7 linked regions of the Rattus norvegicus genome follow. The protein of the gene in region 4 binds, or shares a complex with, the protein of the main gene of each other region. Links are inferred from orthologs where the notes say so. Each region holds a gene or a part of one and is shown on either strand. Other genes may lie near its edges. The genes, in order: Med20, Med4, Med7, Med24, Med31, Med16 and Med25.

What was found.
Region 1: Med24 (region 4) and Med20 share a complex: the UniProt entries of both Homo sapiens proteins name them as parts of the mediator complex. The link is inferred for Rattus norvegicus from reciprocal best matches to the Homo sapiens genes MED24 and MED20.
Region 2: Med24 (region 4) and Med4 share a complex: the UniProt entries of both Homo sapiens proteins name them as parts of the mediator complex. The link is inferred for Rattus norvegicus from reciprocal best matches to the Homo sapiens genes MED24 and MED4.
Region 3: Med24 (region 4) and Med7 share a complex: the UniProt entries of both Homo sapiens proteins name them as parts of the mediator complex. The link is inferred for Rattus norvegicus from reciprocal best matches to the Homo sapiens genes MED24 and MED7.
Region 5: Med24 (region 4) and Med31 share a complex: the UniProt entries of both Homo sapiens proteins name them as parts of the mediator complex. The link is inferred for Rattus norvegicus from reciprocal best matches to the Homo sapiens genes MED24 and MED31.
Region 6: the proteins of Med24 (region 4) and Med16 are in contact, whole or in part, in a cryo-EM structure (PDB 7EMF), measured with the Homo sapiens proteins. The link is inferred for Rattus norvegicus from reciprocal best matches to the Homo sapiens genes MED24 and MED16. Residues at the interface, in NP_055630.2 of Homo sapiens: Ile539, Leu540, Asn541, His544, Pro545, Glu593, Arg629, Met630, Leu631, Gly632, Leu633, Asp634, Glu635, Asp676, Gln679, Gln680, Thr681, Ala682, Pro702, Pro703, Lys704, Arg705, Pro706, Ile707, Lys708, Glu709, His737, Met738, Gly739, Gly740; in NP_005472.2 of Homo sapiens: His29, Cys30, Pro31, Ser32, Arg52, Asp54, Asp55, Gln56, Glu82, Asp102, Val126, Glu127, Gly128, Asp129, Pro130, Val184, Ser185, Leu187, Thr203, Glu204, Ser205, Cys207, Arg208, Leu209, Arg210, Gly211, Arg212, Asp232, Gly233, Ser234.
Region 7: Med24 (region 4) and Med25 share a complex: the UniProt entries of both Homo sapiens proteins name them as parts of the mediator complex. The link is inferred for Rattus norvegicus from reciprocal best matches to the Homo sapiens genes MED24 and MED25.

What each region holds. Positions count from the first base shown.
Region 1 is NC_086027.1:20,867,150-20,870,062, forward strand, and holds the end of Med20 (mediator of RNA polymerase II transcription subunit 20), read right to left. Parts: intron 1,960-2,913; coding exon 1,744-1,959; 3' UTR 532-1,743; downstream 1-531. UniProt on the Homo sapiens protein: Component of the Mediator complex, a coactivator involved in the regulated transcription of nearly all RNA polymerase II-dependent genes.
Region 2 is NC_086033.1:55,104,836-55,108,891, reverse strand, and holds the start of Med4 (mediator of RNA polymerase II transcription subunit 4), read right to left. Parts: upstream 2,814-4,056; 5' UTR 2,802-2,813; coding exon 2,677-2,801; intron 1,667-2,676; coding exon 1,600-1,666; intron 1-1,599. UniProt on the Homo sapiens protein: Component of the Mediator complex, a coactivator involved in the regulated transcription of nearly all RNA polymerase II-dependent genes.
Region 3 is NC_086028.1:31,353,536-31,357,895, reverse strand, and holds the start of Med7 (mediator of RNA polymerase II transcription subunit 7), read right to left. Parts: upstream 2,860-4,360; 5' UTR 2,814-2,859; exon of another isoform or gene 2,266-2,813; intron 216-2,265; 5' UTR 47-215; intron 22-46; exon of another isoform or gene 1-21. UniProt on the Homo sapiens protein: Component of the Mediator complex, a coactivator involved in the regulated transcription of nearly all RNA polymerase II-dependent genes.
Region 4 is NC_086028.1:84,162,318-84,165,899, forward strand, and holds part of Med24 (mediator of RNA polymerase II transcription subunit 24), read right to left. Parts: intron 1,921-3,582; coding exon 1,656-1,920; intron 1,279-1,655; coding exon 1,097-1,278; intron 925-1,096; coding exon 834-924; intron 382-833; coding exon 282-381; intron 1-281. UniProt on the Homo sapiens protein: Component of the Mediator complex, a coactivator involved in the regulated transcription of nearly all RNA polymerase II-dependent genes.
Region 5 is NC_086028.1:57,336,039-57,340,050, forward strand, and holds the start of Med31 (mediator of RNA polymerase II transcription subunit 31), read right to left. Parts: upstream 2,852-4,012; 5' UTR 2,796-2,851; coding exon 2,768-2,795; intron 1,878-2,767; coding exon 1,800-1,877; intron 1,527-1,799; coding exon 1,430-1,526; intron 1-1,429. Other genes in the region: C10h17orf100 (uncharacterized protein C17orf100 homolog), read left to right, coding at 3,148-3,549. UniProt on the Homo sapiens protein: Component of the Mediator complex, a coactivator involved in the regulated transcription of nearly all RNA polymerase II-dependent genes.
Region 6 is NC_086025.1:10,447,746-10,452,127, reverse strand, and holds the start of Med16 (mediator of RNA polymerase II transcription subunit 16), read right to left. Parts: upstream 2,856-4,382; 5' UTR 2,801-2,855; coding exon 2,723-2,800; intron 2,541-2,722; exon of another isoform or gene 2,396-2,540; intron 1,957-2,395; exon of another isoform or gene 1,881-1,956; coding exon 1,715-1,880; intron 1,356-1,714; coding exon 1,248-1,355; intron 1,063-1,247; coding exon 893-1,062; intron 1-892. UniProt on the Homo sapiens protein: Component of the Mediator complex, a coactivator involved in the regulated transcription of nearly all RNA polymerase II-dependent genes.
Region 7 is NC_086019.1:104,509,171-104,513,547, reverse strand, and holds the start of Med25 (mediator of RNA polymerase II transcription subunit 25), read left to right. Parts: upstream 1-1,538; coding exon 1,539-1,672; exon of another isoform or gene 1,673-1,750; coding exon 1,751-1,796; intron 1,797-1,985; coding exon 1,986-2,110; intron 2,111-2,809; exon of another isoform or gene 2,810-2,938; intron 2,939-4,377. UniProt on the Homo sapiens protein: Component of the Mediator complex, a coactivator involved in the regulated transcription of nearly all RNA polymerase II-dependent genes.

The sequences.
Region 1 (2,913 bases), on a different chromosome or scaffold from region 4:
CACCTGCTCCGTTATTATTAGGTCTTTTGCTTAGCAAGCTTCTTTCAGTGCTGCATTTCCACTCATGACAAGGACCAAGCAAAGTACCCAAGTGGTCATTCTTCAGGCTACATCTCATGTTTAAAGCCAACTGTGAGCTCAAATGGAAAAGAGCAAAAATGAAGGGACTGAAAAGACAGCTCAGTAGTTAAGAATGTTTTTGCTCTTGCAGAAGACCTGATTCCATTCCCAATATCCAAATCTGCCTGAGACACCATATCCAGAGGAGTTGATGCCCTCTTCTGGCCTCCAAGGGTACTGCAAACTCAAGAACAAACCCCCCCCCCCCATTCCCGCCATGCGTGCCATTAAAAACAAAATCTTTTTTTTTTTTTAAATCAAGAATGGGGTTGGGGATTTAGCTCAGTGGTAGAGCGCTTGCCTAACAAGCACAAGGCCCTGGGTTCGGTCCCCAGCTCTGAAAAAAAGGGAAAAAAAAAATCAAAAATGTGGGAATGGAAGCAAGGCAACTTCAATTACCAAGATGCAAGATTGTTTGTGCTTCTCTTTATTTTTTAGAAACTGATCCCTTCTTATGTAGGAACTGAGAGTCCATATTTACCACACTTAACATCTGTGTTTTCAAGCGACCAGTACAAAGTACAAAGTAGACAGCCTGCAACAAGACCAAACACAGAACAGAAGGCCGAAACTGTAGTGTTTGTCAATTTTATTGTGGTATCTAAAACACCTCAGTTTTTACACAGCAACAATAAAAGAGTAACAACAAAAGCAAGAGGAAGTAACAGGATAACCAGGAAGGTGTGATGAGCTGTCCTGCCCACCAAAGCTAGGACACAAGAATGACCCACCTCCTCAGAGCTGCTGCACAAACACTGCCACCCTACACTTTGTATATGAACAGCTTTCCCAAGCCTGTCTACGTGTTAAATGTTTCTGTAACAGGTGTGAGGCAGGTGAGCAATGTCAGTGAGTTCAAGGCTCAAGCCAGCCAAGACGGCAAACTAGGAAGCCCCCTGAGAAAACTGAGTGTTGAGTGTCAGGAATGTGTGTCCACAGTGATCTAATCAACTTTGAAAAACATCCCTATCTCTTTCCTCAGCAGACTGTGGGCACGGAGATACTGAGCGTGCTTTGATCCTGTGGTGAGGAAAGCATTCTGGGGACAGTATGATAGAAGGAACAGTAAGACATAAGAAGCCAAGTTCCTGGTAACCCTGTGGAGTTCATTCTGTTCTGTGGAACTGAATGCCTCTGAACTATTAACGAAAAATAAGCTGTGCAGTAAGAGCCCTCTGCTTTTGGTTCTGCTACAGCAACTTGGCCTGCAGGTTCACATAATTCAAAACAGTAGGGGAAGACATCAGTGTCCAAAGAATGAAAGCAACACTCTCGCAGCCAACAATCCCGTCCTGCCAGCCACATCCTCAAGCGAAAGCAGCACAGGCATACAGCCTATTCGAAATGCTCAGCACCTGGGGACACACAGCTCTAGCACTGGTGGGCACAACCCTGTCCTACCTTTTGCCTACAGGAGGAAAGGCCCAAGCCTTTCCATTCTTCACAATTACCATTCTTGAGGACCAGCCAAATCCAGTTAAAGCATGAAGTAAAGAACAGCTGTGATGTGGTCAGGAGGGGAGTCCAAAGCCCTGGAACACAAGCTACAGCTGGGACCCAAGTCCAGCACGTGGTCCTTGACAGTGCCATGGTGACAGCTCAGCAGGCGGCAGCTGCCAGTCACTAGCGGATCCCAGCCACAGGCACTTGCTGCTGTTTCCGGACCTTGTTGAAGAGCTCCATGTACTGTACCATGGTATCTGCTGGCCCGTAGACCGCATCATGTCTGTTCCCAAACACTGTGGGCGCCCCTGGTGTGTGGCTACCTAGAAAACTCTGTAGGAATTCAAGCAGGAGGCTCCAGCAGTCACTAGCTACCACACAAGGGCCATACTCCACCTGGGACAAGAGAACAGACAGCAAGGGTAAGGACAAGGATGGGCTAGCTAGCTTCCCTCCTGCAACTGCAACCGTCCAGTCACTGGTGAAACAATTAGACAGTGTTGGCCTGGGAGCCTCCTGAAAAGAAACTTGACACGAGGGTCCTTCCTTTTCTCTACCTGGGCACTTCCCAGACTCTCTTGTTTGGTTGTTACTTTGTGACAGGATCTAACTGTGCAGCTGCAGTTGGCTTCAGACTCGCAGTCCTCGGGCTCTGTCTCCCAAGTGCCGAGACAGTAAGCATGTACCAGCACTCCCGGCCTCCGACTCCTTCCTCCTTAGTCTGTCCACTGCTTTACAGGTTACCATTTCAGTCAGCAAGACTCAGCCTGGTTCCCTAAGCCACATGCCTTTCTGGACTCACTTCACATGTGTGTGTTTCAGCTCTGCTTGCTTACCAAAACCATGCATTTTCAGAATTGTTTTATTGTTTCTAAAATCGCAGTTAATGCTGGACACATGGTAGGCTATGGACTTTCACTCTAAAGCTATCTTTCCATACTCTCCATGTCATTTTCAACATCTACATATTTAGGTTCAGTGTTGAAGGCCATCAGCCAGTAAAAATGCTTGCCACCAAGCCCGATAGCCTGAGTTCAATCCCCAGGACCCACATGGCAGGAAGAGAGAACTGATTGCTCCAATCTCTAGATGCACACCTACACCCACGATAAGTATGGTCAATTTTTTTTTTTGACTAAAAAAACTAGATGAAGGCATCTCATACACACATTCTTGGCCATCATGAAAGTGGACAGATGCCACAGGGAAAGATACAGTTTTGTTCCACAGCTCTGGAAGCCTCTTGTAAAACATACTAAGGTGGGGCACGGTGGGCACTGTATGACTGACAGCCCACCTCAGACATCCCTCAGAAAGCTGTGTCCTCAGCCCTTCCTGGAAAGGGTGTTG
Region 2 (4,056 bases), on a different chromosome or scaffold from region 4:
TTTGGGGAGGAACGACTCAGAGCGCTGGGTGTGGGCCTGGGTGGCAGCTGTCAGCCTGCAGCTCTGCTGCGTCTGCACCATCGGGGAGCTCTCCAGCACGCTCCAGCTAGGCCACCCAGTGCCACCAGAGGCAGGAGCCAGGCCAGCTCTCCTGCTCTCACAGCCTCAGGGCTGGCTTACTCATACCTTCCACCAGCCCCGGTGGTGCAGGCCCACTCTCCCGAGTCTACAGCTAGTGAGTGGGCAAGGCTAGGTCTCCTGTATTCATGCCCTTGGGGCCGACTCTGGACTACCACAGATGGTGGTGCAGAGGTGGGGGGGCAGGATATAAAGAGGGGATCACCCCTGCACCCACACCATCTCAGAACAAACAAGTGGCAGGGCCCACTCTCCCAAGTGCTCCAGCCAGCAAGGGGCAGGCCTGCTCTCTCAATTACTGTAGGTGATAAGTGGGGGGGGGGGGGGGGGCCGCGGGGTGATGACGACGACACCCCACACCCAGAACACGTGGCAGGGCCAGCTCAGGGCTGGCTCACCCATGTCCCCTCGACCCGGTACAGCACTACTGTGTACAGGGCCCACTCTCCCAAGTGCTGCAGCCACCAAGGGGCAGGGCCAGCTCACACACTCTTATGACCCTGTGGTGACCAAAGTAAGTTTCAGGATAGCTAAGGCTACATACACAGAGAAGCCTTGTCTTGAAAACTACCCCTGCCACACACACACTCACACACTCAAAAGCAAAGGATAGGGAGAGAAAGGAAAAAGAGGTTTCTGAATCAGAAAAAGAAAATAAAATGCATCTATCTACTGGAGAAAATTAGAATGAATGAACAGTATAGATAGCTTCTAAGAGTGATATCCATTGACTTCCACTCACTTCAAGTTTCACTGGGATGAAGCAGCAACATACAGGGTTTGTACTAACAACTTCCTTCCAGCATACTGTATGTCTCTATTTCATAAGGTTTTATTGGTTAACTCAAAAGTCAAGGAATAAAGTCGTATCTAAACCATGAAGAACCTCAAGTCACAGAGATTTGCCTACCTGGGACACTTCAGTGCTGGGACTTAAGGTGTGGGCCACAATGTATGGCTAGGAGCTTCTTAGGCACAGTGTTACGGAAGTGCCATAAAGAAAAGTACCAATGTGCCCTGCACAGTGACACGGGCCTTTAATCCCAGCAATCGAGGGGGTGCGGGGGAGGGGTGCGGGTTGGGGGTGCAGAAGCAGGCCAATGGCCATGAGTTTGAGACAAGTCTGGTCTGCAGAGCAGGCAGAGAGGCACTCTCAGAAAAAAATCCAAAAATAAAATAAAGTAATGCTTTTTAAAAAAGTATCAATTTAAAGATTCACACAAAATAAACATAAACTTTCAAACATTAAGTTATCTTTTTTTTTTTTTTTTTTTGAGATAGGGTTTATCTGAGCTTGCTATTCTAGAACTCCCTCTGTAGACCAAACTGGCCACGAAGTCAGAGATCTGCCTGCCTCTTCCCACGCAGTGCTAGGATTAAAAGTGTGGACCACCACTGCCCAACATAAATAATTTTAATATAATAATAGTAATAATAATAATTAATAATACAACCATTTACCTGATTTTCCTCTTCCAGCTGTAACAGCTTCTGATTTCTTGAAATTGCAAGCATTTCTATAAGTTCCCTACAGGAAAAACAACTATCAGGGTAAGGTGAACTCGGTATTTGGGAGGACTCTGGGCAGCCTGGGCTATCTAGTGAAACCTTTTCATAGCGCACTAACAATTTGTTAAAGTAAATACAAAAGAAACTGTTTAATTGCTCCCTGCCCCAATTGATTGTTGGGTTCATGGTCCTCTCAACATGCTGGACACTCAGAGTGACTGTAAACACTTCAGCAGTCACCGGCTACTGCACACGATCACCAAAGACTCAGTTGTGATTAAGTGGCAGTCTCCTGACTGGACTGTGGGTCTGCAGGCCAATAGAGCTGCCAATTGTGTAAATTATGTCTTCCTGTAAGACGGTACAGATTGCCAGGGCTGCCTTCCCTTGATAAGGCTCTAACTGATAGACTTGAGACAATCAGGACAAAGTGGAGTATGACATCCAATTTAATCTATCTCGGCCACACACCAGTCACCCCGCCTTGTCCTGCATGACATTTTCAGGCTTTTTCAGATGCTGGACTACCTACCAGACGCTTACCAAGCCTGATGATTTTACATGCAGCCCATTTCTTAGGGAAGCTTGCCCTGCTGCCACCAGAATAGAAATCCCATCCGTGGACTGCAGAAGGCTACTGCTCAACCCTTATAAACCTGGCCCACAGCAGTTTTAAACATTCGTCTCCCTCGTTGCCCTGGGCTCCTTCGTGTTGGCATCTAGTCTCCTCTTGACTACAGTATCCCAACACTTTGTATCCGGGAGGGAGCGTGCTTTAAATGTCTGTTCAGTGTCCATGAATGAGGGGGCTCGGATCTGGTCCTCTTACCGGCAACTACAAAGTTTTGACTGTCTTGGGGTCCCAGGTCATTGTGACTGAAATATCCCCTTGATAGGGGAAATGCCGCCCAAAGCCCCGGAAGGCAGTTGACCCCACGTCCATCACGTTGGCCGGAGACTCCCCAGCCCGCCTACCCAGTCAGAACCCACAGCCGAGCCGGCCGGAGCAGGCTCCCAGGCCGCGGTTACCTCGACAAGACCTCCAGATCTTCCAGCGCAGACAGAAGCCGCTCTCGCGTACTGCCAAGGCCTGTCATTCCTGAAACGCCTCCCATCCGCTCCTTTTCCTTCTCACCACTTGAAGAAGCCGCCATCGTCCCACTGCCCACCAGCCGTCGCATGCGCAGTGCGAGCTAGCCGCAGGAGGGGCGGGACCGGTAGACGGAAGGAAGAGTAATAGAGGTCGGGACGGAGTGGTCCCGCTAGAGCGCCGCCTATCGTCCTGGAGGTGCACTACAGTTCTAGCGCCATCTACAGGGCAAAGGAGGCCTTGTGGCGGGTTCCAATCTGATACCTCCAACTGGACCCAGAATGAGAGATACAGTTCCCAGTCTCCTGGGTCTTCTGTTTCCTCAGCATCAATGGAAGGTTTCTAACAAAAGAATTTTTAAGAAACTGGGGGAATTGCATACTTATTAACTTCTAGTTTGTCTGTATTCCAATAATAATATCCCAGCCATCAAGTTTGGTCTCTCATGAGGTTGTAGTAAATTTGGGGCAGGAGGTAAAATCCTTTCTTCCCTCCCTACTCCTTTTTTGGTAGCAAAGTACATATTCTTGCCCTATAGACCATGCTGGCTTCGAACTCAGAGATCTTCCTGCCTCTTGAGTGCTGGGATTAAAGGGGTGTACCGCTGTGCCTGGTTACTAAAATTTGGTATCTTAACCATTGTGTGCAAAGGATTCACTGGCATTAAATTTCTGTTAAGCAAGGCAGTTGTGACACATGCCTTTAATCCCACACTCCAGGAGGCAGAAGCTGGCAGATCTCCTGAGATAGAGGCCAGCCTGGTCACAGAGTGAGTTCCAGGGCAGCCAGGGCTACACAGAGAAACCCTGTCTCAAAACAAAACAAATTGCAGTTAAAAAACATCCCAAACCTCTTCATCTACTAAAATGTAAACTGTATACTCATGAAAGAGCGACTTCCCATCCCTGGAAACCACACTGTACTTTCTGTTTCTATCTTACTATTCTACTCATTTTGTATGAGTGGAGTCACATAGGCTGTTCTAATTTGGGGTTTCTTGGTTTGTTTTTGGTTTTTGGGAATTTGGCTTTGTTCTCCTTTCTTCCTTTCAGACAGAATCTTGTTGTGTAAGCTAATCCCAAACTAAAAAGGATCTCACCTTCTCATCACAACCTCCCAAATGCTGAGTCAGTACACCACGCTCATTCATTTAGTGAATGCCATCATGGTCCATCCACACTGGAATAGGTGCCAACACCCTCCCTCGAAGTCTGACTTCTCTCCTTATGTGCTCACCATACCCCCTATCTGATGGGCACTTACTGGGTTACCTTCTTGGTTGTTAGAACTCATCCTTAGTCCTGTTTGTATCTTCCAAC
Region 3 (4,360 bases), about 53 Mb from region 4:
TCACTGTGTCATGAAACTTCACTGATGAGAGAAAAAAAATACCAACCTAAGACCAGAGCAGCCTGATCAACACAAGTACAATGTTCAGTACAAGTTCGTTGTGGGTTCAGACCATATTATCTTCAAGCTTCCTGATGGGAAGTATAAAAATTGAGAACTTGTTGGCCAGCAAAGACAACAGGTGTGCTAATTTCACCCTAGGGAGACAGGTAATCCTGGCAAAGGAGGAAGAAGTGAAGAGAAAAATAAGGCAAAGCTATGGCTTTATGAAGATCTGATTAGTCCCTTGTTAGACTAATGGGATAGAGCAGGGAAGGTGCAGAAAGTTGCACACAAAGATGGCCTTCCAAAAAGGTCTGCCCTCTGTCTACTTTGTGATAGCATGAGTTATGGTTCCAACATTCAAGTATAAATTCCCATTGTACAATTTCTGCAACTGACAGTGGACAATGGCAGGCTCCTTTTTACTGTAGAATCACCACTTACACATACTTAGTCACGGACTCCCAGGTACCATGTCTTCTTTACAATACCTGCTCTGGTCCTACGGCCTGCTGTGTCCTGGCTCTTAACTCTATTCACCCAAGACTACAGGTTGTTGCTTAACTGAATCAGGCTTTAAAATGCTGAATCGCCATGTTCACTGCAGTGAGGATAACAGAAGTGAGAACCATGAGACATGTCTAGTGTCTAACTACACACCCAAGTCGAGGTGTGCAAACCTTGTCTATGAAGGAAATTCTGAGAACACGGAACAGCCTCACTTGGAAATCCTACGATTATTTTTAATCTCTTCGAGCCCTTCTCACCTGTTAAAGAGCACTCATATGATCGTTCAGTAAGATCTGTTCTGCTTGTTTAAAAAATGATGTTAGCATTAAGGACTCACACATTGTAGATAACCTGACAAATGTAAATAAAGCATTCAAAGTGGGAAAACAAGCAGCAGAGTCCACTGCGGGTTTGCAGAGGACTTTATTTACTGTTATTTTTAAACAATTTTTTAAACTGCCCTAAGCATGATGGTTGTTGAGTCCTAATGATTGAGAAGCATGATAGCTGTGAGTTCAAGGCCCATTTGAACTACATGGGCCAGCCTGTGCTAAAGATCCATCTTTAAAAACCAAGAAAATATTTTAAAAATATATAAAATTGGGAGTAAGATATGGTAGTGGTCTGCAAGATATTAGACGAGTGAGGAAGCAAGCATGATCAAAACACACATGTTTGTGTGTGTGTATAAAATTCTCAAAGAACAAACATATATTCTGAAAACTAAGAGAAAAGGGTCTGTATTGGGGGGCTTATACATGGTATATGATATACTTCTTTTTCATGCCTGACTCCTTTTGGTAGGCATACGTTGAAACCTACTCTGGGAAAGAACAGTTATATACAAAGTCATATGCCTTATTTATTTCTCTTTTCCATAATCAAACTACATATGGTGTCTATCAATCTCACTTTGCTTTCTACTGTACAGTGATTTCCAAAACCAAACACTTAAGATTCTCTATACGTCTTGACAAAAATCACTTGTTAAATTTCATACTTCTAGAATTTTCCAAGGTTTCTGAGGGAAGCCTCATCTTACAAACATCTTATAGTACAGTTTTATTGACAATTGGCATTTTAACATCTTTTCTACATAAATTTAACACCTAAGTCCCAACACTGCAACATATATGGTCAAAATACCCTCTGCTTTTCCAATTTGAGTTTAAGTACATTATACAATGAGAAGATTCTTGAGCGCTTTTTCACACTGAGATTCAAGGTAACAGGGGAAAGTAACATACAGGTTCCGTACACCTGGAATACATTAAATCTGAGGGAAGTCACTTCAAATTCTTCAGGTCGTCCAACTCAACTATTTCAGGGTATATATACCTAAGATACTAGTGTCTATTTGCAGTCACATCAAGTCAACACCCAGCCTAAATTTCGTCCCCTGAGGGCTTTTGAAGATGAGATCTGCGCTTCCCTTAGCCACACCCATACTAAATTCCCATTTCCCAAAGGTTTCTAATAAGTGACCGGCATCCTCACTTCTATCTTCCTAACGGCACAACTATTCCCAATTTGATTTTAGAAACAAGAAGCCAGTTTCCAATGTGCAGAAGTGGGTAAAATGTATAACGGGAATTTGTACTCCGTTTTTGTTTTGTTTTGTTTGGCTGTTTCGTTTTGTTGCGCGGAAGTGCAAACCCCGATAACTCAAGCATCCCGTTTTAGAGCCTGCCACCTTACAAAAACCGCCCTCACCGGTTTAAACTGAACTTTTCAGAGCCGCTGGATGTCCTCACTTGCTAACACTAACAAAATTCAGTTTCTAGCATTTGCTTGGGGGGCGGGGGGGGGGAGTGGTCGCAAGCTCAGACACTTGGCTCACTTGGTCCCTGTCCCTCGTAAAGTCTGGTACAGGATAAGATCCGCCCGAGGCTCTCCCTCCCCTCCCCCAGCCTCCGCGCTCCCAGGTGGCTACTATCATTTTACTAATGCCGACAGGGCAGGCTAAGGCCACGACACTTTAAAAGCCCGTGGCGTGGGGACGAGAACTCGGACCTCCCAACCTCCGGTCCGGCTCGTCGTCCGGTCCGCGAGACGCCCGGAGCGAGCCGCACTCCGCGCACCTTCGGCCAGCCGCCTGCCTCAGGCCCCGGGGAGGCTCCGCTGAGGGACGTGGGAGGAAGGCGAGCCCGGGCTTCCCAGGTTGTCCCGCGCCGGACCTCGGCGTGGCGCCGGGAAAGACGCAACCGCGGGGGCGGAGAGACAGACTCTGGCTGCGGTCGCCAAACGCCGCGCCGGCTCACCTCAGCTCTAGCTTTTCCCGTAGCGACTTTTTCCTCAGCGCAGCGGAAGCACAAGTTCCGGTTGCCTTCTCAGGAAGAAGCCTCTGACGCGGGCCTTTAATTGGCTACGAAGCCTGTCCTATAGCAGGTCCTACTCCCGCCCTAAAGATACTGCGCATGCGCACTCCCGCGTCTCCCGCTTCTCCCGGGAAAAGATCTCTTGTCTATCTTCTTGGTCAGGTCAGGAGAGTGTTTCTTCATACTTCTTGTTAGTAAAAGAAAGTACTCTCTAGTAATTCGACTCCTCGCCGCCCACCCCCTTTATATAAGACTCTTAAAATTAAATATTTGCCTTATATAAGTCAGAAAATACAGATAAGCAATATTTAAAAATATCAATGCTAACCTTATCATCAAAAAAAATTTTTTTAAAGCAAGTTGTACTCCATGATATATTCATACATACATGGGGATATTTGGGAACATGATTAAGACTAACATCCTACACCTTCATTTTCCCCCTTCCGTTCACTTTTATTTTCATTTAGGAATTCAAAGATGTATATGACAATTCTTCCACAAACCGACAAGTAAAAAAAAAAATTAATGTAATTTTTAAAATTAGAAGGAGTGGGCAATTTCACTGTGTAGCCCAGGCTACACATGGTTTCAAATGTCTCTTCCGAGCCTCAGGAAAGCCAGAGGTTCAGAAATGAGCCATCAGGACCAGCAAGAAAACTTTCCATTTAGGCCTTCCCCCACCACACATATAAAAGAATTGTTAACAGATGTCCTAACTCATGGGAGTCTTAAGAACGCTTGTTGCAAATTAAAAGTGAGATAAGACTGTTCTGCTAAAACAGCTCTGCTTCAGAGACAAGAATGTCCCAGTTTCTTCCTTTAAATATGTGAAGAATTGCAGGCATAAAAGCGAAAGAACAGTCTACTCATCACCAACTTCCACAGCTATATGCTCCCCATCAGTTCGCCTCTAGTCCAGTATGAGCCTCTCAAAGGTAAGGGCTCTTCGCTTTTTCCCATGCCCATAGCATTACTATCTTACTGAAAGTGTACCAGGGGTTGTTACACTGATCAAATGAGTGTGTGTTCACACATGGATATATATGTCATATAACTTATTAGAGTGGCTTACAAGATGCAGTTCAACTAGTCCAACAATGGCTGCCTCCAACCTGAAAGGCTGAGAATCCCGTAGCTGCTCAGTCTAAGGGGCTGGATGTCTCAGCAGACCCCACCTGGCGTTGGAGGCCTGGAGGATTTTTAGAGAGCTGCTGCTCTTCAGTCTGTGTTGGAATCCCAAAAAAGTTTGGATCTAATACTGGCAAAGGAATGACACAGCAGTGGGACAGATGAAGTTGCCAGTGAGAATGAGAGCAAGCAACGAAAGAGCAGTTTCCTTTCTTCTTGTCCTTTTATCTGGGCAGCTACAAGAAAATGCCATTCGGTCTTTCTGCTTCTAAAGATTAGCCATCACCCAAAGTTAAATGAATAGGGGTTCAGATGTAACTCAGTTGGTGGAAAGTTTGCCTAGAATAGTACATATAACG
Region 4 (3,582 bases):
CCTGGCGGGGCCTGTACTCAGCCACAGGGCATGTCTCTGGGTTAGGAAGGAAGGGAGAGTGGGTGAGTCAGTGGTACAAGCTGTGTCAAGCTGGTGAACTCACTAAATGCCTCGCCACCCTCCCACCAGTGATAAGGGAGGAGGACCTGTGGGGTCAGAGCACCCACTAGGGACAGAGAAGTGCAAGCTCCTGCTCTGCCAGACGGCCATGAGCTGGGAGTCGAGGAAGCTCGTGAGGGAGGAGTGAGTCCTGGGCAGGCCCATGATCCCCAAGTGCTCACTAGGACTTGACAGGATGCTGGCATCATCCTCATTGGAGCTCAGGAGCCGCATAAGCTTTGAAGGCTGCATGTCCTCCACAGGGAAGAGGCTGATATAATCCTGGGGACAAGGAGTCACTGTCACACACTCGACTTCCTAAGTCTCCAGGAGCTGGAGAGGACTGGAGGGCAGATCTGACTGGAGAAGTGAGCTTCCTACAGTCCTTGGCCAGCGTTACCAGTGGTGACCCTTCCCATACCCCAATCTCTGCCCAGTGAGCAGAAAAGGATCCTCATCAAGGATACTCAGAGGACCACTCAAGCCACTCCTCTAGACCCTGACCAATCAGACAGGCCCACACACAGATGACCTTAGCCCCAACCTCTGGCTGGGAGAGCACCTCTGCTTTAAGCGATCAGAAAATGTTTGCTGGGTTGGGGATTTAGCTCAGTGGTAGAGCGCTTGCCTAGCAAGCGCAAGGCCCTGAGTTCAGTCCCAGCTCCGGAAAAAAAAAAAGAAAAAAAGAAAATGTTTGCTGAATAAACACATGACCAAGTCAGCAGCAGGCCTACCTCTATGTCTTCTCTGTGCCTCTTCTTCTGGCGTGAGGATGCCTGTCCCTTGTGGGAAGAGTAAGAACTCAGGGCACACCAAACGGCTAGCCTAGCAAAGGTTCCAGGAAAAGGCATAGTTAAGTCGGTCCCAGAAGAAGCTACATGTTCACAGTGAAGGAGCCCCTTCTGTCCCTCACTCCCACCCAGATCCTGGGTGACACCAGACTGAATCTGGATGCTAGATGCTTGGGGCTCAAGAAAAGCTCTGGAGAGAATCCTACTTGGCTAGTGCGGTGCCAGGAGGGTCCATGAGGCTGTGCCACTTGGAGGAGTCAGTAAGCAGCCCAGGCAGGATGTGGCCCAGCAGAACCAGGGTCACTTGTTGCATGTCCAGACAGAAGATGGAGTACAATAGTTGAACTGCCCTTAGCGTGTGCTCCTTGCGAGTCTCCTTCAGCAGTTCCTGAGAGGCAGGCGAGTGGCTCCTGAGGTGCTGCCTGGACCCTAGGATTCTGATGCTCTAACCACCTCAGCAGCCAAAGGTGCTATTCAACCCTAACTCCCAAGGTGCTTCTCTGAGGTGAAGCCCTATCTCCCCAGGAGACCACCCAGCTTCTAGCAATCTCTCAAAGAAGCCTGGCCTATCCCAGACAATGATGTCTCCTGTCCCTGTCCACCTGGCTTGTCCACATACACCCCAGCCCAGCCTATCCCAGCTGATGACATCTCCTCCCCCTGTCCAGCTGGCTGTCCACATGCACCCCAGCCCGGTCTATCCCAACCGATGATGTCTACTGCCCTTATCTATATGGCTGTCCACATGTACCCCAGCCCTAGTACCTTAATCAGGTTGTTGCAGAACCAGTAGACGCCACCCATGTGCAGCAGGGTGTCAAGGATGTGAATGGAGCGGCTGTCCACCCAGCCCTTCTCCAGTACCTTGGCAAAGATGTCTGTCAGTACCTCCTTGATGGGACGCTTGGGAGGAAGCAGGTTCCAGTAGGGCATTGTGTCCACGCCCGTGGATGGAAACTTGATCTGCGTGGCTGTCTGCTGTAGCACGTCCGCACACATGTGTTCCAAGATTGAGTTCATAATCACCACCCTAGGGGAGCAGGGAGGGTACATGCAGGCATTACCCCTGGGTTGGGTTACGGAAACATGGCTGAGGAATTAGACCCATAGTATGCTGGGGAGGACAATACAGTTCACTCCTGGCGAGGAGCTCACTTGCCAGGCCTGAAGCCTAGGAGAGGCACAGACCAGGATTTTCTTCTCTTGCAGATTCCATCAATCCACTCAGATTTTCTGTTTCTCCTCCCCTCAACATCCCCATCCCCTTGTCCCCTCCCCCAGGCCTGAGCACTGCCAAATCAGGGTCATAAATAAACACAATCACTTCCACTTAAGCTGAGCACTTGGGGGAGGGGGTCCGACCCAGCCCTGGCACCCTCCCAAAGTAAACTGTAACTTCCAGGAGAGGCCTTTAGGCTGCCCCATGAGACTCTTCCCGGCCCTGGGCAGCTGGGCAAAATGTGCACGGCCTGGAATCCTCTTGGGAACATCTGGGCTGCAAACACAGCTGGGGTCTGAGTACTAACTGCTGGGATGTCAGGGTGCAGAGAGTGCAACCTTGACTTTCAGAGCCCCTCTGTGCCCGTGTGCTAATGTGTGTGTGTGTGTACGTGTGTATTTGTGTGTGTGCGCGCGTGCGTGCGTGCATGCGTGTGTGTGTGTTATAGTGTGTGTGTGTGTGTGTGTGTGTTATACACACTTAATTTGGATGATGTCCCACAGGCAGGGGAGTGCAGATAAGAGTGTACAGAGCCTCCCCAAACTTTGCTTGGGCTGTTTCCATATGTCCCTCAGAAAGCATCTTCAGCAGCTGCCCTGCAAGCCAGCCCAGCCCCACATACACAGCAACTCTCTCCAAGTCCCCTTGAGGGGCACGGATATGCAATGTTACTCAGCCTTAAAAGGAAGGAAATCCTGTCACATGCCAGAGTATGAATGAATTTTGAGGAAATTATGCTGAGTAAAGTCAGTCAGTCATGAAAAAGCAGGTATTACGTAATTCTAGTTATACGAAGTATCTAGTGTAGTTGCTCAGAGGGACAGACAGCAGCACGGTAGCTGCCGGGAACCCAGAAGGGGGGGTAGACAGTTGCTTATTGGCTAAAAGGCTCGGATACACAAGATGAAAATGTCTGGAGATCTGTGTCACAACCCACATCCTGAGTGACACACAAACACAGTTGAAATGGCAAATTTTCTATTATGTGCTTCACGCCACATTTAAAAACCAACAGCCCAACAACCTAACAGTTGGGGGGAATGAACGGACACCACCAGCCCGTGTGGCGGAAGTCCCTCAAGAGCCAGTACTTGAAATGGTCACCAGGACAGCTGGGGGTGGGGGAGGGCAGCTATAAAAACTGCAGATGCCTCAGAGTTCCTCGACAGTGACACAGCCATATAATCCCTTTGCTCTTCTGCCTCAGCTGGTTCTCTACAACTTGGAGTCTTTGAGGACAGAAGCCAAGCTGTCTGGGGTCCATATTTCCCACTCATGGACTGCAGGGTTAAAACCCTCTCGATCCAGAGAGACACCAACTACCTGCTGTGCCAGTTGAATGAGTGTGTGACAAAGAATGTGAGGGAGTGGTAGGGAAGGGAAGCCGTAAGCCGAGAGGGAAAGGAGAGTCCAGCCACCCTAACTGGGCACGGCCTGGGCAGCACAGCAAGGTGGGCTGTCAGAGCCTGGATG
Region 5 (4,012 bases), about 27 Mb from region 4:
TGGAGTTATTTCACAACTTCTCTCGAATTTAAACATCTATAGCTGTTACCTCCAAGAGGACACAGATGAACAGAATAAGGAACAAGCCTACAAACGGCTTAGAGCTACAAGGAGGTGTATTTGATCAGAGTATATAAGAAGAGCTCCCTTACCTCTGGCTATCAATGGAGTAAGCTGCCTCTAATAGTAGAGGGACCTATGATCATAGGGAGCCTCCAACAGAGCGGAGACAATCATCTTTCAACAGCTGGGCTGGAGAGACTGAGCTTGAAGGTGGCTAAAAGTTTGCTAACATGTAACATGTTATACTTTTCTTTCTTTTTTTTTTTTTCTTTTTTTTTTTTTTCTCGGAGCTGGGGACTGAACCCAGGGCCTTGTGCTTCCTAGGCAAGCGCTCTACCACTGAGCTAAATCCCCAACCCCATACTTTTCTAATAGTAATTTCAAGCCTATCATTTGGATTCCTAGAGGAATCTAGAATTGCATCATGAAGAGCAAATCTACAGGCAGCCCAGGAATCAAGTCAGAAAAATGACTACGATTAAAAAAAAAAAAAAGGTTTGAAATGTTTTCCTCTAATTTTTAAAATAGGGTCTCTCTGTGTGGCCCTGAATGGCCTGAAGCTTGCAACATAATCAGGCTGGCCTCAAATTCACGGAGATCTGCCTGACTCTGCCTCTTGAGAGCTGGGATTAAAGGGACACCAAGCTACTTCTGGGGTTTTTGTTGTTGTCCCCTCCTTTGGGGCAGTGTCTAGACAGGGTTTACCTGGGTAGAGTGGCTGTCCTGGAAGCAGCTCTGGCCTTGAACTCACACATGCGCCCGCCTCTGCCTCCCAAATGTTGGGATTAAAGCCAGCTTGGCTTTCTTTTCTCTTTTTAAGTCAAAGCAGAGTTTGATGTGATATTGTTGTGTCTGTTCTTTTACAGTGAGTTAATACGCACAGTGATTGAAACAAAGGACACCACAAAGAAAGGCAGGACCTCTAAGACTCTCAGGAAACAGTTCTTCCTACCGTCACAGGTTATGGGTTGTTAGGCCTCAAAACCCCAGAAAGACAGGGGCAGTGCTAAGTGACATGGTTAGACACGACCAAATTACATTAGAACTGTAGTCTACAACAGTTCACTGGATCTTAGCCTGCACGAACAGTATGCTCTGACTTACACTGCCAAGAGAGTAAGCTGGCTCCCACGTAGACAGTTCTTTGGTTTTGTTTGAAGGGAGTGAGGTAAGAATGGTAGCAGAAATAAATGAAATTCCTGTCATAATCAACCCAAGTTAGAGATAACAGCGTCTTACATCAACTAAAAGCAGAAAGATCCCAAATGCTGTTTTCCATTCTGACACCGAGAAAACTGCTAAATAATAGCACTTAGTATTTATAATAAAGTACACACAGCTTTGGGATTTTAAAAATTAAACTTACTTTAGATATTTGGCATATTCTGGTTCTTTCCAGTAAAGCAAGTACTTAAGATAATTAACAAAAGCTTTGTCTTTGAAGTAACCTCTTTGGGCGAGAACTGAAAGACACAAAGAAACACTCTGTATGTCAACCACTGCTGGGCTGCTGATCTGTAATCTCTTAAGTAAAGTAGCTCTTCTTAACATCCCTACCGACAAAACACAAGGGATTAAAAAACACAAGCCCTTGTTTGCTCAGTTGATACTTACAGACCAGCACAAGTAAAACCCCAAACACATCGAAGTAAATAAATACTATTACAAATTGCATCTCTTCTCAGAAACCATTAAGATCTAGTGAGCTACTTAAGTTAATGATGTACTTAACTTACAATTAAGGTAATTTGGGTTGGCTAAACATTGCACAAATTCCAACTCCAACTGAAACCGAAGTCGATTTCCAGCATCATCTAGGAGAAAAGACAGTAAAAAAAAAAAGAGAAAGAAGGAAGGAACGATCACCCAAAATAAAAGTCACAATACAAACATTGATTTGTAGAAACAAAAATAAAACGCAGGTCAAACAGCTCAGCAAGTAAAGGTGCTTGCTGCAAAGTCTGATGACCTGAGTTCGATTCCTGGAACCTACAGGGTTGTAGGAAGACAACCGATTTCTGCAAGTTGTCCTCTAACCTTGGCATGCACCGCCGCTCACCCCCATAAACACACACACACATGCACACTCATGAATGAACTCAAATATCAAAGTGTGGAAGAAACTTCCTTAGAAATTTAGTTTAATTCACTACTTAGTGAGCCCTGTTTCCAAAACAAAAATAGTAATAAAAAAATCCTTTAAAGTTCGTTGAGGAAAAAATATGTAGAACCTGTACGCCACTGTGGAAGGACGTGAGCGGAGATTATCGGATAGTCTGCAATAGCTGTACGGTTCCCTATGTTGTTATAACCACAACTAATTACGTTAAGCAAAAACAAAGTGCTACACAAAAACGAAGCAGGAATGATTAAACAATGGAGAGAAGACGGTGATATGCATTAGAATACACAGGTTACCGACATTTCAGGCAAGTTTGGAGAAGTTCCAAAGAGCAGACAGTGGAAGGTCTCAGTCCTTTCTATGCGCCCCGGCCCGCCCCGCGAGTCAGGGTTGGAGTAGGGGTTAGAGCAACACAGGAGCAAAGTTGGTCCTACAGGCCATATTCTGGGGGGCAACACCGCCTTCTCCTCCGCCGGTCCCAACTCTAAGGATGAGGAGTTGAGCCCGGAAGACGGCGCAGGGGAAGGGAAACGGGAGAGGATTTTGGGGCGAAGGACCATTCCCGTGCAAAACACAACGCACCTGTCTCCATAGCGACGGCCGCGGCCATAGCAAGCAGAAAGGCGCAAACACTACCAACCCGACCCAACCGCAGCCCGGATTGGTGAAGGAGAATCCGGAAGTCACGGGTCCTACTTCCGGTCGCGGGGCAGAGTGGGACACGAGGGCGGGGACAACTTCACTTTGGGGAAGAGTGGCCCCGCCCATCTGTGCGGACCGGGCCGACTGCGCGCGCAGATATCGAGCGGGGCGTGCCGGAGGGCTTCTCTGATTTCAGGTCTGAGTCCTGCTGCCTACTCTGATGTAATACACCTCTCTGACGTCACCTTCCCCCGGGTGGCGTGACGCAGAGCATGATCCTTGGGCTTCTTTGTTCCTCCTGACCAAAGTGTACGGGCAGGATGGCCTCGCCCCTTAGGAGCAAGTCCTCCGTCCCGCGAGTGGAAAGCACCCGCCACAAGGAGACATCGACTGTCCGCATGGAGACGTCGTCCCACCGCGAGGAAACGTCATCCCACCGCGTGGAGACGTCCTCCCGGCAGGTTCTAACGTCTTCCCGGCAAGTGGAGACCTCCCAGCGCCACCGAGAGGGACCCTCCCTCACCCCCTCCGCGAAGCGACTCCCTCAATTCCTCGAGGTGTCCTCCCAGCACGTGGAAACCTCCTCGCAGTGCATGGAAACGTCCTCCCGCCACGTCAGGGCGTCGTCATCCCTGCGGGTGGAGACTACTGTGCACCGCGTAGAGAGCCCAGCCAGGCGAGACAAGCAAGCCACTCGGCAGAGTGCCAGAATGACTCGATGAAGTGCCATGGTCCTTAGCCAGGACTGAGGAATTGCCAGCCAGCTTCCAGGAGAGCCAAGTATCTTTGGTTTCATGGAAACAGCCCATAAAACAGTGTAAGAAGCAGGCTGTGGTTTCTGGGCACTGTTAACATGTATTGACATTGCAGCACCTTAGTCCATCCTGCTGTTGACCCAGCGTACTATTAACCTGAAGCCAGCACAGAAAGGTTTCCGATTTGTAGTACTGTGTAAACCCAGACGATGGACAAAGAGATTCTTTGAGTCTCTACACCAGGTAAGTTTTATAGTCTTAGGTCCCTCTAGAATGTGTTGACGACTTGAAATCTGCGAAGAGGGGCCAGATTTGTCATGTTTCTTGACTACTGGCCTGATCATATACCTGCTTGAAACCTACAGAGCAAGGCATCATCTTTCACAAATTGTTAATTACCCTTTAATAATATTTATATTTCATAATAAGT
Region 6 (4,382 bases), on a different chromosome or scaffold from region 4:
TGTCACTGAGAGAAAGTCAGCCAAGAACTGCTCCTGAGGTTCCTGGTGTTTTTCTTCAGGATTGAACTACAGCTGCTGGTTCGTGCCTGGTGTCTGCCTGCTAAGTCCTATTTGGTGTTTGCTGCGGGACTGAACCACTGCTAGCTCACCCTCAAAGAGCTACTGCTCATCAGGTCCACTTCCCCCATAGCCTAACAGCTTTTCTCTTCCGCTGCCTCTGCTGGGCTAGAGGACTAGGTTGCAAAGAGCTTATGCCCACGGAGTCCCTTGGAGCTGGAGTTACAGATGGCTGTGAGTCGCCATGGAGGGGCTGGGAATGTACCCAGGTCCTCTGCAGGAGCAGCTGGTACTCCTACCACTGAGCCACCTACCTCTCTAGCCCTTACATTAAATTTGGAGAACAAGTATCACTGTGTAGCCCTGGCTGCCCTGGACCTGGATATGTAGACCAGGCTGGTCTTGAGCTCAGAGAGAGCTGTCTGCCTCCTAAGTACTAGAATTGGGGATGAGAGGCAATGTGAAAGCCGTTAGGCTCCAAAAACCTGTAGCAATCATGGAACTGAATTTTGGTTGTGCTTCCTGACCCACAGGCTGCCACTTCCCCTCCCTTACTAAGGGAAAAGGACTTAGAGTCCAACTCTGTCCCCGCTCCTAAGTGGCTGAACTCCAGAATATAGACAGACAGGAGGATTCTGGGGTCTGAGGATGTTTGTAAGACAGCACTGCAGACGCAGACATCTGTTAAACAGACTCCCTGTCCAGGGGCCATAGCTGAAAGGGAGGCTCAGGGTTAGAGGCTCTCGGGGACAGCAGTAACCCACAGGTACTCACAGCACATGCCAGCCCCTGGTTCCGTTCCATGTACCCCTTGGTCCCCCAGTGGTACACTCACCTTCTCTACGTGCAGTGCCAGTTTCACCCCGTTATGCAGCCAGGACAGAGCCACGATGGGGTCCCCTTCCACCTGGCTGCCCACGGAGCTCTCCCAGCTGTTGGCCAGGTGGTCAGCCATGCTCCAACATTTGATCTGCCCGTCAGCATCGGCAGACAGGAGCCGGGACCCTGTGATGAAAGAGCTGTGTCAGGAGCCCTTCTGATGGGCAGGTAAACTGCTCGGTGTCCCCTCCCCACTCTGGACTCCCAGTGGGCAGTGGCTGTCCCCAGGCTCCAGACTTAGGACTGATGACTGAGGAAGGTGGCATATGCTGTCCTGGGCTTTGGATTGAGAGCAAACCTCATGGCCTCACCTGACTGGTCCCATTCCAGGCAGGTGATGGCCTCACTGTGGCCAGAGCTGACAGAGTGCACTTCCCAGGGATGTTCTGTGTCAAGGATATGAATCATGTGTGTGAGGTCTGCAGGAAAGAGAACACTGAGGTCAGTGTGGTCCACAGTGCCCATGATTCCCACCCCCATTGCCCCTCTCCTATAACACCCCTCCCCCATGCTGCTAATCCCTACACAGGGTATCCAGTGCAGCCAGTGTCTCTCCAGAGGCACTATCACTAGATTTGGAGGATGGTGACCAAAGTGTGGATGTCTCTTCTCCCACCTTGCTTTCCCAGGCCTCTCTAAACCCTGTAGCTGGCAATGGAGAGCCTGGCTCTGCCACCATGAACCTACCAAATCGGGACCCATTGTATGAGGAAATCACAGCCCACCCACTTGGTCTCAATCCCCAGGTCCCAGTCAGGGAAACAGAACTAGCACTTACCCTGGTCATCATTGCGTAGGTCTGTGGTGAAGGCAATGAGGTTCCTGCAGGACCAGGCGCAGGCCAGGGGCAGCGACGGGCAGTACGTGCTCTTGGCCCACTTCTCCCATTCGCACACATAGGCTAGGTCCATCATACCCACCGCACCCAGCACCGTCCCTGGCTCCTGGGGAGAAGGGAGGCATGCTCTATAGCAGCTCCCGGCTAAAGTGGGTCTAGAATGTTCTCCAGCTCGAGCCCTGCTAGAAATTCCATGATGCCCCACCTGAGGTCACCCCTCCCTAGGCCACCTATCACCCACCCAGATCGCTGTGAGCTCAGCCTACAAGTGCTAAGCACCCTCACACACACAACCAGGCCCACTCCTACCACTTCAGTCTGGGCCTCAGTCTACACTCCAGAGACTTGCCCCGGAACCTAGTAGCTCAGGCCGCGTCCCAGCCCATTAGTCCCACTCGCAATAAGTTAACATCCAAGGCCCACCTGAGGCTTAACACACGTGCTTCACCGCGTCCCGCCCAAGCTCGTTAAGCTCCACCCACACTATCTAATCACACTAGGCTCTGCTTCCAAACAAAACTACTAACTTTATTCATCCCCCGCTTCTCTTCAGTTTGTGACTATCAGGTCACCAACCCCTCTGCATCAGTCTCAGATCTTCAGTCCCTAACCCCGACCCACCTTAGGCTCCGCTCCTTAGCCCACCGCCTTCTCTATCAGACTTATTGCTTCAGGCTCCGCCCCTTCGCTCAACTTCGGAACCTCAGGCCACGCCCCTCCCAGGGAGTCTCAGCCCCTCGGACCACGCCCCCTCCCCAGCCTAGTTGCCTCAGGCTTCACCTTAAGCGGGGAACCTAATCACATCTCCCCCTCACCGGCCTCTACCCAGCAAGCTTTGTTCCCAGGCCCGCCCTCTGACCCCGCAGGCCCCGCCCCTCGGCCTTCCGCTCGCGGGCCAAGCCAGAAATGCACCAGCCAGGAGTCCCATACCCCGCACTCCGCACTGACCTGTCCGCCCCGGGCGCCCAGCCGACCGGGCGGCCGCGGTCCACACTCGCCCCAACGCCCGGGATCCGGCGCCGCCATTTCTCGGCCCGCGCCGGCCCCCTCGAACAGACTTCTGGGAACCGGACTACGCCCCTGCCCCGGTTAATTTGCATATAATAATTTCCTAGTAATTATTGAGGCTACACGTGCGATAAAAGACAAATAATCTGTTCTTTCGAATGATTGGCTAGATCTTATAGAAAGGCTTAACTATATAAGCAGGACAAATACTATTCCTTCAGAGAAAACTCACCCTAAGTGCGAAGTAGCTCAATTTTGAGCCTATAAATATGTCTTGGGTAAGCCCGTAGTTCGTGCTCGCTTCGGCAGCACATATACTAAAATTGGAACGATACAGAGAAGATTAGCATGGCCCCTGCGCAAGGATGACACGCAAATTCGTGAAGCGTTCCATATTTTGCCCTCTCAGAGGAACTGGCATACAGCATAACTGGCATACAGCATAACGTCCTACGAAGGCCCGCACACGTTTTTCCCATTTTGTTTCTCGACAGAAGGGCTCATTGTAGCTCAGGTTGGCCTCCCACTGATGAGGTTCTCCTGTAACAGCTTCTACCTGCTGGGGTGTCAGAAGTGCATCACCTGGCCATGGACTTACTTACACCGTTGGGGGTGGGGGTGGGGGTGGGGGTGGGGGTGGGGGTGGGGGTGGGGGTGGGGGTGGGGGTGGGGGTGGGGGGTGGGGGTGACATGCCTGCCACAGTGCAGGTCAAAGGACCCGGAATTAGTTCTTTCCTTCCTCAGATTGCTGAACTTGCCAGCAAGCACCTTAACCCGCTTAGCCATTTTGTTGGCCCTCAAGTGGCTTTTGTTTGTATGAGGCAGGGTCACTGTGTGGCCCTGGCTATGTAGACCTTGCACTCAGATATCCATCAGCCTCTGGCTCCTGAGTGCTGGGATTGAAGGTGTCCAACATCAGACTTGTCTGTCCCATATGGCCCAGGCTGGCCTGAAACTCACTTGACCCATTGGTCACATGTAACGGTTTATGTGGTATTGGAGATGGGACCAGGGCTTTGAGCATGGTAGCCAATGCTTTCCCCACCAAACCCCAGCCTGGCACCCATCTTTATGCATTTTACATGTTGTAAAATGAACTAACGCATCAAGACTTGAGGTTCCTCCACGTCCAGATCTCCAGCCTCAGTGACCTAGTCTCATCTCTCCCACCCCACCAACCCCAAAAATAAGCACACAGCAGGCCCGAGCACCAAGGCTTTATTAAAAGTGTCCCTTTCCCCAAGCACAAAGAGTCACACGGAAGGGGAAGGGAGGACTCTGCGTGACCACAGCTACGCCAGGCAGCAGAGGGGACAGAGGAGGGGGACAGGGTACACAAGGTCAGAGGCTTCTGGCTGGAAGTCCTGGACCCCTGGTGTAAGGGAGGAGGAGGAGAGGGGACCGTCTGAAAGGCAGGCAGGGAGCTGGGGACATAATACACACGTCACCAAAAAAGAAAGCATAAAATGAGCCCTTGGGACGAAGCTTGTCCAGGTTCACGGGCACATGGCGTGCATACATGTGCTCGCACGCACTCTCACACACACGCGCAAACACACACACACACACGCGCGCGCGCGCAAACACACACACACACACA
Region 7 (4,377 bases), on a different chromosome or scaffold from region 4:
AACGTGGAAAATTTTAGTTTATGGGTGAGCACTGGGGTTAAAAAAAACTTGTTCATACTGTTAATTCCGGCACTCCAGAGGTAGAGGCCAGCAGATCTCTGAGTTCTGGGAAGCCTCACTAACTAATTTACAGAGCAAGGTCCAAGACAGCCAGGGCTAACACAGAGACAGACTGCCATGGGGCCAGAGGTGGAGGAGACACACCACAAAACAATGTCTGGGGGTTGGGGATTTAGCTCAGTGGTAGAGCACTTGCCTATCAAGCGCAAGGCCCTGGGTTCGGTCCCCAGCTCCGAAAAGAAGAAAAAAACAAAAACAAAAAACAATGTCTGGGACACTGTCTCAGTTGCTCCAGTGCTTGCAGTGCAAGCATTTGGGCTGAGTTCGAATCCCCACCACCTACGTATTTTATAAAGGGCTTGTGTATTATTTTTCCTTTTTTCTTTTCTTTTTCTCTTTCTTTCTTTCTTTCTTTCTTTCTTTCTTTCTTTCTTTCTTTCTTTCTTTCTTTCTTTCTTTCTTTCTTTTTTTTTTTTTGAGACAAGGTTTCTCTGTGCAGCCCTGTCTTCCTGGAACTCTTTCTGTAGATTGGGACTGCAGCTCAGATACACTTGCGTTTGCTGTGGATTGGAATTTAAGGCATGTGCCATCACAGCTTTGTATCTTTCTACATTAGTGAGGTTTGTTTAGTAGAGGTTGTTTAGTAAATTTTTGTCCACACATATGTTATAATATAATTTTCCAGATCCCTTTATATTCATTTTGGCTTATGTCATTAGCTGCAATGCCGAGACTCAGTTTCCTCACATTCCTATTACACTGTTTTTATATATTAGTATTATTATTTTGTTATTATTATTGTTTTCTTTCTTGCTTTCTTTCTTGTTTTGTAAAGAATGTATTTTCTTTCAGTCGGTTTCTGGCTTCTTTCCCAGAAAACAGAGATTAGGTGTTGCCTAGCAACCTTGATTTAAATTGAAATTCCCTTCTTTCCCAGCGAAAACAACTGTCTTGCTTCCAAGTCCTGGGCAACTTTACACTGTTGCCTAGCAACGTCGTTTCCGATGATGTGATTGGACTACTCTCTCCCATCGGTTCCTGGTCAGAAAGAACAGAATTTATTAACTTAATCTCTGTGTCAGACCTCTATGGCAGGGCACGCGTTGCCTAGCAACCGGGTTCCCGAACTCCCTTTAGCCCGGAGTCGGAAACAAGATTTCGACTCCAAGATGGTGGCCGGATGTGCTGTTTTTCGTTTTATTTCGTGCTTGATGTTGTGCACAAAAGTTTGTTCGACTTCAAGAGGCCCTTAAAAGGGCTCGTTGTGCCCATTCTGAGAGTTTCATGCTGTTGGTATGCGCCAAGGTAGAGATAAAACCACCACTCCCAAGATGCCCCGCACAAACATGGCCGTATCAGCATCAGCAGAAGTTGCCAGACGTCCGGCGGGAGTGCGCGCACCGCGCAAGCGCACTTCTGTTCGTCCCGGGACGGCGACGGCCTCTGCGGCGCTGGCGGCGGCGGCGGCGGCGCGGGGCATGGTCCCCGGATCCGAAGGCCCGGCCCGGGCCGGGGGCCTGGTCGCTGATGTGGTGTTTGTGATCGAGGGGACGGCAAACCTGGGGCCGTACTTCGAGGGACTCCGCAAGCACTACCTGCTGCCCGCCATAGAGTGAGTGAGACCCTACATCGCCTCCCGCTGCCCTAACCTAAGGCTTGTGCCGACGCTGCCTTTCCTCCGTCTTCGCAGGTACTTCAACGGAGGACCACCCGCAGAGACGGACTTTGGGGGAGACGTGAGTGTGCGGCCGAATCATGGGGAGGAAGCTGGTAGACCCCTATGTCTGAGGGAGCAAAGATGGGGTCCTTAGTCTTGGGTTTGAAGAAAGAGAGACTCAGTTTATTTCTAAAATGATCTGAAGTTGGGAGGCCCTGTTCCTTGCCAAAGATCTTCGTTTTAAAGTTCTTTTGTCCTGTCTTCGCAGTATGGCGGAACCCAGTACAGCCTTGTGGTGTTCAACACAGTAGACTGCGCTCCAGAGTCCTATGTACAATGCCATGCTCCTACCAGCAGTGCCTATGAGTTTGTCACCTGGCTCGATGGCATCAAGTGAGCTTTGACTTCATTTGGGGCAGGATGGGGACCCTAAGAAAGACTGTGGGCATGGTGACTTGTGATTGAATAGTGCCTGGAGTTCAGTGTGGGTCCCCACAGTCTGTACCTGAGTATGCCATACCGTCAGCTTGCTCTTCTTCTCTGTCTACTCCAGAGGAGTCTGCAGGATGGATCTGGGCCTTGAGAGTACCTTATGTGAGTTGGGTCATAGTTTACAGTGTAGCTGAGGCTAACCTTGAGTTCCTGACCCAACTGCCTCTACTTTCTGGTTGCTGGGCTTACAGACTCGTGCCACCATAGCCAGCTTATGGAATCAGGCAACCTGCAGTAGCCACGGCTTCTTCTCAGACATATTTCCTAGGTCCCAGGGTCCTTTGTGCTGCCCATTCCTTCTGAAAAGGAAACCTGTAGCACTTGTATTTGTTTTTTGTGCTCTTGGATGTCTGTTACTGTATAACCGGTTCTCCCCCATGCTGCCTTGGTTTAAGGATTTCAAACTGAACATTTGCACCATCTGTAGGTCAGGAACTCAGGAAGATAAGTGGGGTCATGTGTGTTTGGTCTGGTCTCACAGGGCTGTGGTCATCCACTCCCTGGCATGCCTGAAAGAACCACGGTCAACTGCTTGCTCTGTGGCTGGGGACAGAGCCTTCGTTCTTGCTGGCTGTTTGCCATCATGCCCTCGAACATGGCAGATTAACACCCAGACTGGCAGCTGCCTCTGCTCAGAGTGAATGTGAACCCAGAGGGCAAAGAGGAAACTACCAGGTTTTTTGATGACCAAGTCATACCTCATCACTTTTGTCACAACTTGTTTGATAGGTGAGTCTGCCCTGTTCCAGACAAGAATGGGTGACCAGTGGGTTCCCTGGGGACAGACCACCAGAGCCTTGTAGGGTGCTGGTGCTTGGCACATAGTGAGCAGTGTGTGAGTGCCTGCTTGTACTGCTCGCCCTGTCCCTGTTCTTGGTTTGCAAATGAGTAACCTATAGAGTGGTGGGTGCTGGAAGGCTCACTGATGCTAATCTTCCCAGGTGGGTTCCACAGTCTGGTTGTGGTCAAGGTTCATTTAGTGGTGCTGATCTGTTCCTGCTGGTTCTTCCTGCTTGGTTGAAGCAGGCGTGTGTGTGTGTGTGTGTGTGTGACAGACAGAGGCAGAGAGACTTGGTAAGAGGCATGGGAAGCTGGCCTGTGTACTGCCCCCGGAAGTTGTTGGGATTAGAATTAATATAAAGCAAAGCTTCCTGTTCTTGATATTGTTGACACTTTGCACTCAAGTTTTTAAAACAGGTTTTGTTTTGTTTTTTTAATTTAATGTGTATGGGGTTTTGCTTATATGCCTGTGTGTGCAACACTTGTGCCTGGTGCCCTTTGAGACCAAAGAGGCCATAAGATCTTCTGGAACTGGAGTTAAACAGTGTACTCCAACCTGGATCCTCTGAAGAGCCGCCAGTGCTCTGAACGTTTCTATGCCCCCAGTCCAGTTTAAAAACCTCACAGCATCTTGTCAGGTTTTCCGGGCTAGCCACACAGTTCTTTCCATCCTTCTGCCTCAACCTCATCAGTGCTAGGTTTTCTTGTCTGAGCTGCTACACCTAGCTTAGATTATATAAATCTTTTATTTTTTTTAAAGGATTTTTATTTTAATGTGCATTGATTTTTTTTTTTGTCTTACGATTTTTTTTAAACTTTCTATTGAAAGAAGTGACTTTCTATTGGTGAGAAGTGACTTTCATACCATGTACCCCAATCCTACTCAACTTTCTATCTCTTCATATCCACCCTTGACACTTACAAACCTCCTTTCCAAAATAAAAAAACAGTGTCTTTTTTTTTTTTTTTTTTTTTTTGGTTCTTTTTTTTCGGAGCTGGGGACCGAACCCAGGGCCTTGAGCTTCCTAGGCAAGCGCTCTACCACTGAGCTAAATCCCCAACCCCTGTGTCTTTTTTTTTTTAAGATTTATTTTATTTATTATATATGAGTACACTGTAACTGTTTTCAGACACACCAGAAGAAAGCATCAGATCTCATTACAGATGGTTGTGAGCCACCATGTGGTTGCTGGGATTTGAACTCAGGACCTCTGGAAGAGCAATCAGTGCTCTTAACCATGGAGCCATCTCCATCCCAAAATCAGTGTCTTGATGTTTTTGTCCACATACATGTCTGTGCAAGGGCACCAGACGCTGGAACTGGAGTTAGAGATAGTTCTGAGCTGCCAGCTGCCCTGGAAGAGCAGCCAGGGCTCTTAATGACTGAG